Linked DNA regions of Diceros bicornis minor. The protein of the gene in region 2 purifies or fractionates together with the protein of the main gene of each other region. This does not show direct contact. Links are inferred from orthologs where the notes say so. Each region holds a gene or a part of one and is shown on either strand. Other genes may lie near its edges.

What was found.
Region 1: the proteins of RNF146 (region 2) and LIG3 purify together in Homo sapiens (co-immunoprecipitation; 3 studies listed by BioGRID and IntAct, counting the BioPlex papers as one, with this or other methods). This does not show direct contact. The link is inferred for Diceros bicornis minor from reciprocal best matches to the Homo sapiens genes RNF146 and LIG3.

The regions. Positions count from the first base shown.
Region 1 is NC_080757.1:23,607,597-23,615,093, reverse strand, and holds the start of LIG3 (DNA ligase 3), read right to left. Parts: upstream 3,267-7,497; 5' UTR 3,175-3,266; intron 2,508-3,174; exon of another isoform or gene 2,254-2,507; intron 1,130-2,253; 5' UTR 1,126-1,129; coding exon 576-1,125; intron 1-575. UniProt on the Homo sapiens protein: Isoform 3 functions as a heterodimer with DNA-repair protein XRCC1 in the nucleus and can correct defective DNA strand-break repair and sister chromatid exchange following treatment with ionizing radiation and alkylating agents.
Region 2 is NC_080762.1:10,388,488-10,396,392, forward strand, and holds the start of RNF146 (E3 ubiquitin-protein ligase RNF146), read right to left. Parts: upstream 3,036-7,905; 5' UTR 2,947-3,035; intron 2,207-2,946; exon of another isoform or gene 763-2,206; intron 1-762. UniProt on the Homo sapiens protein: E3 ubiquitin-protein ligase that specifically binds poly-ADP-ribosylated (PARsylated) proteins and mediates their ubiquitination and subsequent degradation. May regulate many important biological processes, such as cell survival and DNA damage response.

The DNA.
Region 1 (7,497 bases), on a different chromosome or scaffold from region 2:
AACATCCACCAATCCTCCTCTTTTTTTGCTGAGGAAGACTGGCCCTGGGCTAACATCCGTGCCCATCTTCCTCTACTTTATATGGGACGCCGCTACAGCATGGCTTGCCAAGCAGTGCCTTGGTGCGCGCCCGGGATCCGAACCGGCGAACCCAGGGCCGCCGCAGCGGAGCGTGCACACTTAACCGCTTGCGCCACAGGGCCAGCCCCCTAGAATATTCTTATTCTTAAGATATGTACATTTACTATTTAAAGGCAAAGGGCCATGATGTATGCAACCTACTCTCAAATGGTTCAGGAAAAAAAACCTCTGTGTGAAAGGGGAGAGTAACAGAGTGCACATGAACACAAAAGACAAAGCAAAGAGAGAAAATGTTAACAATAGGTAAATCTGGGTAAAGGGAATATGAGCATTCTTTGTATTATTTTTATTCTTACAACTCTTCTGTGAGTTTAAAATTATTTCCAAATAAAAAGTTAAACAAAAAAAAAACAAGAAAGAAAAAAAATTGGCCTCGACTCTCCTTATCCCTTTTTCTCTCAGCACTTAAGATGAGAAAGTGTTCTCTACCCCACCTGCAATGTGCTGGCTTATCTGTTCCTTCTCATTATCTTCCAGTTCTTCCCAACCTTCCAGCTCCGTGAGGTCCTCAATTTTTTTCGTGGTGGCCCGGGCCCGCTCCAGTTTCTCAAACATGCATTTAATGTGGTACCACTCTTTCATATCACCCCCGGAATCTGAGAAGGGATTGGGTACTACTTTGCCGATTCGGCACACCCCCTTCACAATCTTTTCCTTGCATTTTTTGCAGCCAGCTGTGCCACGCTTGGCATAGTCCACACAGAACCGTTGCTCAGCCATCTCACAGGGGCCACTGCAGAGTCCCACATGCAACCTTGGCAAGTAAACAAGGCAGGTGGCACGCGGTCTTAGACTGCCTTCCTGAAATGACAGAAATGGCTTTCTTCTCTGGAGGAAGCAGCGCCCATGAAGCAGATCTGTTTTCGACCAATGGCTGAATTGTCTGATGTCAGGCCAGTGATGTTGTTCTCGGATTAGGCACAGTTCTTTTCGGCTGAGTGCTCGGAGGGTTGGTGGGAAGAGGATCTTGAAAGCCAAAGTCATACAGCTGCATGAAAGGGTGAGTCAGAAAAGGTGAGATACAAACAAGGAGCTAGGCTTCCAATTTTCTCAAAGGTCAAAGTCCTAATACAGTCCATGCTGACTAATCAAACGCATACCAAAGTATTAAAGATTTATTGCCTACAGGATGAAGAAGAGTTCCGATACAGGGAAATTCAGTTTGCAAAAAGAATGTTCAATGATCTAATGTACACATGTATATCTAGTAAATCACAATCAAGAGAATCCAAATAACGTAAAAGCTTTTCTCCAGCCATCAGCAATATCTGATAATCATAATGGATGATGATCCTTAAGTATTACAAGATCCTGAAGTTTCTTTTTAATCACCAATAAAAATGACATTATGTTCATGAAGTTTTTAACGTGAAGTATAACATACATGCCATCCTCAGAAAATAAATAAGCCACTATATAGATTTGTGACTTAATCAGAAGCCCTATTTTGAGAAGCAACTAAACAGAGCCTAGAACAGACTGCTTGGGTTCAAATACTAGCTCATTAGCTACGTGACCTTGGTAGGTTACTTAACCTCTCTGTTCCTCAGTTTCCTCAACTGTAAAATGTGGATGATATTAGTACCTAACTCAAGGGGTTGTCATTCTAAGGGTAAAGCCCTTAGAACAGAGCTGCGCACACACAGGAGCTCAGTAAATACTGGCTCCTATTATAATCAGTGAAGCAGCTATCCTTTAAGCAGAGGCTCCCTATGTGCAATTAGCCTGTTTATAATTCAGCACCTTGAATCAGGGAATGCTGAAGTAACTGGATGGCAAGAATCAAAGAAACTGATAAATCAACCCAAATGGAAATAGGGATCATATCTGCATGGTCTCCCCTCACCTTCTTATATTTTCCAAAGTATCTTCACAGTTCCAAATTGAAATATACTGGAAATTATTCTCAGCATGCACACCGCTTTGTCGTGAAATCGCTACTGGGTTACAACGAAAAGCAGGCTTTATCTACTGCAGCGCAACACCATGCAGAGGAGAGCGCGTGGATGGGAATCACCGATGGGAGTGCAAGGGTGACCGTCCAGTGTAGGGACTACATTACCCCCTCCGAGTCTCAGTTTTCTTATTTCTAAAACGGAAAATAATACCTACCTCACGGATGGCTGGGAAAATTAAAATGAATCCATGGATGATGGGCTGGTGGGGGGGCTCTGACTCCCTGAGAACGCATACAAAATGTGCACATTCATATATGTACATTTTTTCGGAGACAAGGTCCATGGTTTTCATGAAATTCACAAAGGGGTTCTATAACCCGCAGAAGTTCAAGAACCAGAGAGGTGAGGTAGGTGCGAGTATGGCAGGCCCGTAAGGGGAGCTCAGAACACTTCAGGTCTCCACACCTTCCTCGGAGGAGCCACCCGCCCCCGTGATCCTAGGAGCCGAGCGGAGCGCCCTCGCGGCGCCCCACCCTCCGCAGGCCGGCCCGGGAGGCGCTGGGGCGCGGAGGCACAACGCTGCTTTGAGGAAACCATCTGTCCCACAACCCCCAACGGCTGCGGTCTGCATTTCCTCAAAGGGAGGCGAGTTCTAGGAACCGCTGAGGCCTGAACGCAGGCCCGGCGAGCCGCGCCGGGCCGGGAAGTGACAGCCCGGCGGCCGCCTTTCCTGGAGGGCCTGACCGCTTTCGGCGGAGTGGGCAGCGTTACTGGCCGCTAGGGAGGCGGGGAAGCGCGTCCCTCGCTTCGGGCCGGCCGGGGGCCGAGGACACAGCCCGGGGCCGGGGAACGGGACGCGGCGGGAAGGTAAAGGCTCCCGAACGCCTCCCGAAGCGCCCCGACTCCGGCGCGGCCCGAGCGGTGGGCGGGGGCACCCTCCCTGCGCGGCCCGTGGGGGTCCCGGGGAGCGGCGAGCCAACCCCCGTGGGCTCCCGGGGGGCCGCCACGTCACGGAGGGTGTGCCCGGGGCTCCGCGGGCGGGGGAGGAACCGAGGAGCGGCTCCGGGCCGCGCCGAGCCCCGGATCCCCGGCCGCCTCTCTCCCCGCTGCCCGGTCCCGCCGCGCCGCCCCTCACCTGCTTTCCTGGCTCCGGCGCACACCGCAGGCCTCTGACCCGCCGCCCGCAGGCCGCGCGCAGCCACGACGGTTGTAGCGCCTGTCTCTTTAAATCCGGGTCCTAGAGCTGGCGCAGCGCGCAGGCGCAAAGGTCCAGGCCACCCCCCCCCCCCCACACACACCCCCACCCCCCGCCGCGCCACGCTTCTCCCCGCCCCTCGCCTGCCACGTGGGCTGTGGTCCGGTGGGGCGGAGTGAGCCTGTGGGCTGGGTCTGGGAGCGTGGGGGTGGTTGCTTATCTGCGATCGCCGTGGAGTTGCGGGGACGTGGTGGCGCCCGGCGACGCAGCCCGGCTTGAGCTTCTGAGGGTCCTCTGATTTGCTCATAACGTTAGAGATTATCTAGTCCTTAAAGATACTGATTGAGAAACTACATTGTAATAAGCACGGGGAAGGCAAAGACCGCGTCATTCAATCTATTTTTCTGTAATCCCTCTGCCTTGTGTCCCGCGCAGTGCCCAGCTCATAGTAAATATTCAGTAAATATGATTGAATTGAAAAGAGGTACTGGATAGAGAGATATAAAGTGTAAAGGAATGATGGGGAGAGTAACCCCTTGATTGTGTAGAGATTAGGATGGCTATTTTTACAAAAGAATAGCAGGCTCAGAGAAGGTAAGTGAACTTGTTCAGGGTCTAGGAAAGGCAAACAATTGGACAGTGTTAGGTAAGCAAAGATCAGATCCTGGAGGGAATTCTGTGCTATGTGAAAAAGAACTTGGCCTTTAATGTGGAGGGGATGGAGAGCCATGAAGGGCCTTATGGAATAGTAACTACTGTTGAAGCTAGACCGGGGAGAGGCAAGGGAATCAATTAAAAGGTTCTTGGTGCTCCTGCAGGAGCACAGATACTAAAATTAGAAAGATACAGAGAGTAGCATGGCTTCTGCGCAAGGATGACTGCAAATTCGTGAAGCATTCCATATTTTTAAGGAAAAAATTTTTTGCTTTTTCTTTGTATTGTATCTGTAGGAGGTGATGGATGCTAACTAAACTTGCTGCGGTAATCATTTCACAATATATGTAACTCAGACCATAATGCTGCACATCTTAAACTCATACTGCATAGTGGTGTCTGTCAATTATATCTCAATAAAACTGGGTGGGGTGGGAGAAGGTTCTTGTAGTGAGCCACGTGAGAGATGAAAGTGGCCTAGACAAGCTCTGTTATTTGGGGTGGAGAGGAAGGTGCATTTTTTGATAAGCATTTAGTTAAATTATCTTCTTGATAAAATGCTCATTTAGAGATGAGATGAGGATGATTTGAGCGAGCAGGTAGATAATGGTGGCTTCAACTGAAATAGGAAAATGAGAGGGGAGGAGGAGGATGTATTTGGGGTAAAAGGATGAGTTTTGTTTTGAATATATTAAGTTTGGTTGGTTGCGGCCAACCACAGTCCCCCTGTGTGAAGTGAGGAAAGTTTTTAATGTGCCACAGAATGGACAAGGTCTTTGGGATTGGAAGGTCACTGGAGGGTCAAGTCCTAACTCTGGCAGTTGAGCGATACTGAACATATCTCTATCACGGCATTTACTACGTTGTTTTGAAAATCCTCTTGACTGTATCTGTCTTTTTACCCAGCCCTGCGCTGTCATCACGAACCACGTGTGGCTTTCTTGAAGTGTGGCTAGTCTGAATTGAGATGTGCTAGAGGTGTAAAATACACACTGATTTTGAAGATGTGTTGCCAAACAAAAAAAACACTGTAAAATATCTCATTAACATATACTTATGTTACATGTGGAAGTTGATATTTTGGAGGTGTTGGGTTTGATAAAAATATATTATTAAAATTAATTTCAACTGTTTACTTTTTTAAAAATGTGGTGACTAGAAAATATAAAACTGCATACTTGGCTCACATTGTGCTTTTTTTATTGGACAGCACTGCCCTAGACTTCAGAGCTGTTTGTGGAGGGTGACATCTGTGCCTTATGCATCTTTTTATCCTCAGTGCCCAGAACAGCACTGGGCAGATGGTAGGCACTCAGCAAATATTTATGAATAAATGAATGAAACCCATAAGTGAATGGAATGAATGAATGAAACTCTCAAAGTGATAAGCTCCCTCAGAAGGGTGTTCATTACATTGTATCTTTGACAATGTTTGATGTAAATATGCAAAAGGACTCAGGCTCTCGCTGTTTGTTTTGCTTGATTCGAGCTCCAAGGAACCTCTAATGATCTCTTTGACTCAGGCCTCCCACTGTAAAATGTAACTGGGTGTGAAAGTTGGCAGTTGCGTTTCCTTAGAGAACTGGGAACTGCTGCCGAGGAAAATGAGGTAACGGGTGGTGGGAATAGCAGGGCTTTGAAATCACATGGACTTAGGTTTGAATTATATTCCACCCCTGACTGTGTAACCTTCTTCTGTTTTCTTAACTTCTCTGGCCCTCAGTTTTCATGGTGAAATGGGGATAAAAATACCTCTTAGGATTGTGTGTGACGGTTAAATGAGATGGCTTATATTAACTTGCAAACTGCTTGGCATTTAGAGGAATTTCAGTAAATGTATATTCCCCTCCACTCCCCAGCCTGGATACATCCTTACCACTGCAGTTTATCCATTCAGTGAGTCATCAATCAGTGCAGTATTTATGAGTGCCTGCCCTATGTAGGCACTGTGCCAGGAACAGAATGCAGCAGTGAAACAAAGCAGACAAAAAATCCCTGCCCTTGTGGGGCTAACAGGTTAGTGTGGGAGACAGATAATAAACAGTAAGTAAAATGCATGGTGTGTAAGGTGATGATGGTGCTACGGAGAAAAAGAAAGCAGAGGAGGAGGATAGGAGGTGCCAGGGAGGGCGGGGTGGGGGTTGCAGTGTTCAATACAGTGGTCAGGAAGGCCTCACCAACAAGGTGACAACTGAGTAAAGACTTGAAGGAGAGCCACGTGGAGTTCTAGGGTAGAGAGAGCAGCGGGCAAAGGTCCAGAGGCCAGGAAGTCTGTCGTGTTGGGAGATGAGCAAGGAGCTGGGTGTGGCTGGAGCAGCAGGAGTTAAGGTTGAGAGGAGCTGGGGATGAGGTCAGCAGGGTGTCTGGAGACAGATCCTGTAGGGCCTTGTAAACCACAGTCAAGATGTTGGCTTTTACTGCAGGTGAAATGGGAAACTAGTGGATTGTACTGAGCAGAGAAGTAACATATCTGACTTAGGTTTTAACAGGATGGTTATCACTCTGGCTGCTGTGTAGAGAAACTGAGAGATGAGTTAGGATAGCTACTGTAAAAATATAGGGGAGAAATGTGGGCAATTTGGGTGGTAACAGTGAAAGTAGTAAGAAGTAACCTGGGGTTTCTGGATCCCTAGGGAATCTGTGGATGGGCTCACGGGTGTCCTTGAACTCCCTGAAATTTTATATAAATATTTGTGTGTAAGTGCATTTTTGGAGGGAGAGCATCTATTGGAGTCTCAAAATAGTTCCATGATCCAAATCAAGAACTATCTTGGTGACGAATAAGCAGGATACCTCCTGCCTGTTCCCAGTTATTCAAAGTCCCACGATTAAGTCTTTCCCTCAGACCTTGATCCTAAATCCTCCAGCCACTGATGTGTTTGTGAGCCTCTCAGAGCTTCTGCCACTCCCTTTAAGACTGTAGCATCCTTGACTTCCAGTTTAGACTCATTAGGATTGTTAAGAAGAAGGAAAAAAAAATCACAGGGAAATGGGTGGATTCTGTTCGGATTTTATGCTACTCACTGGAAGCTTGGCAGCCACTGGCGGGAACAGAGAAAAGACTTCACACCTTCCTAGAGACAGTGCAGGGCACTCGTGAGGCTAGTTTGAGCTCAGTGGATTCCTTTTTTAATAAGCGCTGGTCTTTGAATCACATAAATCTCAGCACCAAGAGCCGATTTTACGGTTTGGTTTGCTTAATAGTCACACAATTAAAATAAGTTGGGGCTGGCCCTGTGGCTTAGCGGTTAAGTGCATGTGCTCCATTACTGGTGGCCCGGGTTCGGATCCCGGGCGCGCACCAACGCACCGCTTCTCCAGCCATGCTGAGGCCACGTCCCACACACAGCAACTAGAAGGTTGTGCAGCCATGACATACAACTATCTACTGGGGCTTTGGGGGAAAAAAGGAGGAGGATTGGCAATAGATGTTAGCTCAGAGCCAGTCTTCCTCAGCAAAAAGAGGAGGATTAGCACGGATGTTAGCTCAGGGCTGATCTTCCTCACAAAAAAAATAAATAAATAAAATAAAAATAAAATAAGTTGTAAAAAATGATAGTGGTGTTTGCCAGGATAAATATTTAAAGGGAACAGCTGTAGGAAGATGTA
Region 2 (7,905 bases):
ATACTGCAAACCTTTCAACTCATGGTACACAAACTCAAAAAAAAAAAAAAAACCACAAGGGCCAGTAAAAGAAGGATAGAGAAACTGGGTGTAATTTAACAGATACACCTTAACGTTTCTTAAGAAAGAGTCCCAAATTGAGAGATGTAACTAAATGCCCTAATGTTTCCATTTTTAGCTTTCCCTCTCATCCTCTGCTAAAACTGGCTTACAGAAAGAACAGGTCATACTTGCAAACAAGTCTTCAGTTAAAACTCATTTCAACTAAATGGGGCCCAATACTTTACACTACTCTATTTTAAAGAATTATTTCCCTTATTGTATAGCACTTCCCTTGAAAAAATTACTGCATGGCAATCTATGGCCTTCACAATCTTCATACTCAAGCATTAAACCTTTACATCCCCCCCCCCCCAAAATATGGGCTTTGTATTTTAACAAAACAAGAAATATGAATGTAAACAAATATTGTCTTTTAATCACATCAAACAGCAGTTTCATAGCCTGAAACCATTATGTAAATAAGAAAGGCTCTGCTGCTAATTATCTGTGTGACCTTGGTCAAGTCATAGCTCCCATGTCTCAGTCATTTCACCCTACTCTATATTTCTGTAAGTCTAAATTCTAAATACTTTAATTAACAGGCATTTAACAACAGGTTTTGTTTTAATTAACCCCAAAAGTAATAAGCCATGAACACTAAATAGTCCATAAATAAGCACAGGTAGTTGTAGCAGAATGTTAATAAGATGGTTTCCATACCCACAAAGATTGTTCCTAATCCAGCCTGTTTCACAAATTCCGGTTCCTTAGGCACAATCAGAAATGAGGCAAGAGAATGAAAATGGCCCAGCACCTTCTGTTACTAACGCTGGGGAAAAAAAAAAAGCATTCAAATACTCAACTGACAGTGTATCAGGTGTTTCAAGCTAGTAAATGGCTAATACACAAAATAATATTCTTTGAATAGACTAACACTGTGAAAAGATTGAATACTATCTTTTTCTTCTATAGCATCAAGAAATCATTTTTGGATCCTTTCAAAAATATTCTACCCCCATTCTTCTGACAACTCAAGTTGGTGGAAACCGAAACAAAATATTGACCAGCTGACACACGTCTCCGAAAAGAAAAAACACCATTTCTTTTTTTCTTCCCTTGTCTAATGATCAGCTAGTTGGAAAAACATTTTTTCCTGATGATTATAATTCCACCAAATTTTAACAACCAGTAAATAATAAAAACCTTCAAATGTTGACCATTGTTTTCATTTTGCCCACAACTTACATTGGTCCATCTAAAGCATAAATTCTAAATCAAAGATCAAAAGATCAGGCTTAATGAAATGCTCCAATTTAAGATATACAGGCTAAAACAAACACATCTGAAATCTGCTTCTAGAGTGGCTTTCACTCTTCCAGTTTTCTCTGTAAAATAACATTACTTGACCTATTTTCATGTGGTTTTAGAGCACCCAGACACTCAACATAAACAATATTTGATGGTGACAAAAAGGGCAAAGCTAACATCATAAATCCTGTTATTTTTTCGGGTCATTTTCTTCATGTGTCCTATATGCCACGTCTTTAAAAGTCTAAATATAGATTCACTTATTAAAAAGACAAAAACAGTCTTAAGTCTTCCAATTTCTGTAACGATATACTGTTTTCAATGCCAATCTTATACTTTCACATCCCGTTTAAAAAGTAAACACGTTGGAAAGGAGGGCTGTGCCCCAGCTCCTGAAACGTCCATCATACAAAGACAAAGCGTTTTCAATCATTTCTTGGCTTTCTTCTCCCTCAATTTCACACTGTAATATTACAAAAATATTACTTGAACAAAATGTTACGTACTTTCGAAACTTGAGAAATAAGTGCTCACTAAAATGGCACTTAGGGAAAAGACACAAAAACATATACGAAAACGGCTAACAAGGAAAAAAGGATCTAGTTGCCAGAATGGGTGTGTGAACTCAACACAATTTTGCAGCCTTTCTCTAGACGTCTAGGGACAACGAAATAGCGACAAGGAAGACCCGCACTCGTTCAGACGGGATGGGGGTAGGGAGAGAACTCCGCACCCAGCAACCAGAAGAACAAAGCAACAGCCTCCGCTTGAAGATGCACTGAGGTTTCGGAGGCTCAACGGGTACGGAGAGAGCTCTTAATGTTTCCGATGCTTTAGTAACCATCAAAACGACGAAGAAGATGCAGCGCTGGGTTTAACCAGGACAAGGTGGAGGGGCTGCTCTTCGGATGGGGGCAGACCCAGACGCTGAGCAGGAGGAAAAAAGAGAGAGACGGGGAAGAGAACGAAACAGCCACAGACACTCCGGAAGAGGACAAAACACAGGGACCGGCTGCCATCTGACCCAAGGCCCGGACGGAGGCCTCCACACGCGAAACAGGGAGCAGGACACCCTCAAACCATCGCCGCCCCTAAGTCTTGAGGCCAAAAGGTCCCCGGGCACAGGCCTGACAACACCACCGAGGGGAGAGGAGAAGACCAGGCTGCCGCTCAAGGCAGCGACGAGGACCCGGCGGAAGAGGCTGCGCAGTAATGGCCGCTGCTCCGCCTCTCGCACCCCGACCGTGACCAGCTCCGGGCCGTCGCCCAGGGCACGGGCTGCGGCGGCCGGGACAGCGCGGAGCCCGCCACAGTCTTCTCGCCTGCGACAGCAGCCCCAGTGGGGGCGGCGGGAAGGCCTGCGCCGTCCCCTCCCGCCCGGGCGCCCACAGCCGCGGCCGCGCCGGCCCAAGGGCGTCCACCGACGTCCCGGCCCCTGACCCCGCCGCCGCCGCCCCTCAGGCCGGCGCGCAGGGCCCACCCGGAGCGCGTCGCGACGGGAGGTGACACCGCGGGCCCTCACTCCTCCCCCCAAGTCAGGGTCCCGGAGTGGCAGACTTCGCCCTGCCCCCGCGAGGGCTTCGCCCCGACTCCCACCTCTCCGGCCACGGCCGCGGGCGCCTCGCAGTCTTCTCTGCGGCCTCAGAGCCCGCAGCGGCCGGGGACGCGCGCGGCCGTCACGTGACCGCCCGTCGCGGGGGCGGGGCCGCGCGGGGCGGAAGCAGCGCCGCACGCCCGGGAGCTCGCACCAGCCCCGCCCCGCCGCCCCACTCCCCACGCCCCGCCCCGCCCCGGAGCGCGCCGCGGGGGACCGCCTGCTCCTGCCTTGGGGGACCTGCGATTTCGCTGCCTGGATTGTTCTAGCTGCTTTATGTTTTGGTTTGCAATTTTTGTAATTTGTAATTAGGTGCGGAAGACTCTGAAAGAATGCAGGTCTACCAGAGAGAGATTTGGAGCCGAGGAGGTAAGCGCGTGTGGGACCAGCAGGTGGTGCTGCTCAGAAACCCAGCTTGGAGATCCAGAAGAAGCCCTTGGGCGCGCCTGGCCGGATTTCGGGGTGAAGAGTCCTTGGCAAAGTACTGCTTGTTCTCTTTCAAAAAAAAAAAAAAAAAGTACCTTTAGGACATTCCAAGTTATCATCCGTCTATGCTACACACCCCATGAACAGATAATAGCAAAAATTTGATATGTAACTGAAGGTATAATACTAACATTAACAGTGTGCAAGGCGTTGTTCTAAGTGCTTTACACGTTTTCGCTGGCAATAAACTATGTGGTAGGTACTCTTGTTATTCCCACTTTACAGAGACAGGCACAGCTGGGCTGTGGAGGCAGGCAGCCACTGTAAGAGTTCACGTAGTCCAGTTCTTCATTTTATCAATTAAAAAATAGATATAACAAGGTTAAACGACTTGCTTAGAGACTTTCCTGTTCAAGATAGAGGCCGGATCAGAACACCGATATGTTTCCTGATCCGTAAATACTTGTAATATAGGAAAAGTTATTCACCGTTCTTCACTTGCTCTAGGCACATGTTTAGAACAGTTTCTCTAAATGAATATTATAATTTATATTCTATCTGCAGTTAATTAAAGGAGTTAATCAACAGGAGTCCCACTAAAATGCCTTTCTAGGCTTCATACCCTCAGCCACATTCATAATCTTAGTCATTTCAGTGAATAGTTCCATCTTTCCCTATCCAAACTCATCGTTAATTCCTCTCTTTCTCATATGTTCCATATCCATTTTGCAAATAATCTGTTGGCTCTTCCTTCAAAACACATCCAGAATCTGACTACTTGCCACCTGTACTACAGGCTACATCATCTGTTTGGATTATTGCAATAACCCAGGGACTGGTTTTCTTGATTCTGTCCTTGCTGTTCTTTGAGTCTATTCACAACACTGAAGCCAAAGTAAACTTATGAAGAAGGATGTCAGATCGTACTGCTCCTCTGTTCACTCTCCCATGGCTTCCCAATACAAAGTAAAAACCATTGCCTCTCTGACTCCCAAACTGCTCACTCAGCCTTGTGTTCCAAAACGACTTTACATAAGCTTTCGACCTCAGTCTTTGCAGTTGCTGTTTCCTCTGCTTAGAACATGCTTCCTCCCTCTGTCTGTGCTCAAATGCCATCTTTTCAGTCAGTCCTCTGCTTGCCACCCTATTTTAAATCATGACATCACCCACTCCCAGTATCTCTTATGCCCCTCCTTTACTTTTGCTCACTAATACTTACCACAACATAAGGATGATTTAGTTTGCTTTTTCATCTTTATTGTGTGTTTCTCCACACTAGAACATAAATCTCTTGAGAGCAGTAATTTGTATTCTATTTTGTATCCCAACTGCCAAGAATAGTGCCTGACGCTTTAGAGAGGCTCTCTATAAATATGTGTCGAATGAACAAAAGAATATGTGCACACACATTTATATACCAAATAATATATAAATGAATAAGAACTTATTTGTCAGTAATTGTGTATAAAGAGGAGAACTAAGTGTATGGAATCGTATGCACCCGATCTCCACCAGTCACCTGAGAGACAGTGATGAGTTTCTCTCTATGAATAATACAGGACAGCGCCTCTCAACATTGTCAGAAGTGTTTTAAAAGTAATTGGTTTCCAGTAATTGTTAAACTGTCCAAATTTTCAAGTGATTTACTTAAAGAAATAAATCAGAGTCTAACAAATTCAGGGTATCTCTGTAATAATGTTACTGTCACTGGCATTCTATTTTGCTTCATTGAATCAAACATAAAGGAGTTGCAACAGACTGCAAGGAATTGCTCGCTATTCATAACCCACTGTCTCTTTCCCACAAGTATATAAAATGCTTTCATGAATACCGCACATCTCCAGCCATCACCTCTTCCCCATACTATCCTCCCAACACCCAAAAATGTTTGAGTTATTTGTTTTCCTTAATTTCAAAATATTCTTTTCGTTTAGTTAATATCTGAAGACATCCATGAAAACACGCATGAGAAAATTATATGTGTTACAGTGGAAAATGTGTTGAAAACCATTGATGTAACTCATCTAGGGCAGTAGTTTTCAAAGTGTTTTCCAGTGTTCCCCGAGGATCCTTGAGATCCTTTCAGAGGACCCCAGAGATGAAAATTATTTCAATAATAATACTAAGACTCCAGCTGCCTTTCTCTCTCTCTCTCTCTCTCTCTCTCATACAGTGCAGTTTTCTAGAGGCTACATAATATGTGTTGTACCAACAGACTGAATGTAGAAGCTGAGATTAGAATTTGGCTATATCAGTTAAGCCAGGCATTAAAGAGATTTGCAAAACAAAATAATGCTGCTCTTCTCACTAAGTTATCTTTATTTTGGAAAATGTAGTTATTTTTGTACTTAATGAGCTTATTATTTTTAAATGAATTTATAAATATTTTAAACAGTTCTCAGTCTTAGTTTCTAATTTGGTAAATATTGATAGATTAATACATGTAAACAACAGTTCTTTTGAGTCTTCTGTAATTTTTACGAGTATAAAGGGATCCCAAGACCAAAAAATTTGAGGACACTGATCTGGGGCTATTTTGTGTACCAACCGTAAGCTCGATTTCTTCCCACTTGCCAGCAATCATCTGATAACTGTGGTCACAACTTTCTCATATGTCTGGAAACAGAGCAAACCAGATTCAGGAATGCACCAGTCATTATAGCTAGCAGATGAATAGAAATTAAGCCAAAGGGAAGTTTTGGAAAGCAGACTTTTACATTTCAATTGAAGATTTTGTTCCAAGAGCTGATACATCACTTGGTCTCCGTCCTACCATTTGCTGTTTTCCTACTTACAGTAATCAAATAATAGGTACTTTTCTAGTAGAATTCCTTTGTAAATAATACCATAGTAGACAATTTTGCTTGTGTTTTTCCTTTACCTAATGTGATAATCAATGCTCTCTCTTTGACTGGTTTTCAGTGTTTCTACTGCAGCCTCAGAAGTTACAACTGAATTATGATAATTGTATGCCTGAGAAATAGCCCAACACAAAACAGTCACTGAGTCAGATTTTACAGTTTGATTGTAAAGTCAATCATGCCGTTCCTAACCCTGGTTGTGTGTATACATGATATATGTATTGATTTTTAGATGCCTTATATTGACAATATTAGCTATTATATTATCTCCAAAGTCCACGTTTGTTTCATTAGATGACATGACCTCTCACTGAATTGAAAGATAAGATTAAATATATTGAAAGATAAGAATTGAAAGATATTGAAAGATAAGAATAAATGCTATATTTTATTTTTTGATGGAATCATTTATTTTAAAACTAGATTATTATTTTAATAAAACTGACACTTAGTGCACTCTATTACATAAAGGAAATAGCTTACAGTTGTACAGGCAGCAAATATGTTTTGCAATACCACATTTTTCTCAAAATGGTTAGGATTTAGGAAGTCAACATTAAATTGTTTTATAATCATGTACGTTTGGTCATTTATTTATTTGTTTATGGAATGATATGCATATCCATTATTGGTTTAATACAATTATAACCTAGAAACTTGAAGCATTTTTCACAGCAGTGTATCAGTCAGGGTCCTATTTAGCAAACAGAAACCACCTTAAGTATTTCAAACAAAGGGAATTTAATGCGGTGAATTGGTTGCAAAAGTATTACATAAAACTGGAGGAGCCTTAAAAGGAAGATGAGGATACTCTGAAATCAGTAACTGCAGAAAGTCACTAGCTGTCCTAAGGTTGGAGGAGCAGAGGCTTTACTGGTGTCCCAGGAGCCTACTCACGTGCTCCCTGAGGCTGCTGGAGCATTTCTGTTTGAACTGCTACAATGGGAAGCCAGGACCCCATATGCTCAGAGGCTGCAGGAATCCAGGAACTCATGGCCACCAGCAGTCACCTACCCCTGCCACTGCCAGAGCAAGGAACAAGAAAAGAATCACCTTCTCCCGTGCACCTTCGGGTGTCTTCCATTGGTAGAAATACAGGAAACCAATGGTTGGTGGATTCTGGAAAATGACCTTTTCCAGCTCCCTTGGATATAAAGCAGAATATAGAAGTGCCAGTGTGAGGCTGGGCATCAACAGACAAGGAAGTCACTGCTACTCTGACCAGAATTGAGTTTCTTCATTTGTTCTTCCTTGTTGCCCCTGATCTCCATAGGGGGTGCATGAGATTTTGGGAAACACTACTCCATTCTTATAAATGGAGCATGTGAACTGGACTAAGTCAACGAGTACATACCAACCCCAGGCTAGTGACTGTAAGATGTGGACATTTGACCTAAGACAGTGCTACCATGTAAAATTCTGGGACTTTTGCCAAAAGTTTTGGGATACAGCCCCTCTCCTCTTTTGGATGGCATTGAGTGCAGGTGTTGCACCTTGAGCTGCCTCATCTATATTGCTACCACGAGGAAAACCAGCCTGAAGATGAAACTGCTAGATGAAGGTCAGCAGGATGGAGAGAATGCCATTGAAGCACACTTAAAGGCTGCCTTTTCTCTGAACTTCTCAATTCAAGAGGTATAGCCCCTATATTTTGTAAGTCAGTTTGAGTTAGCT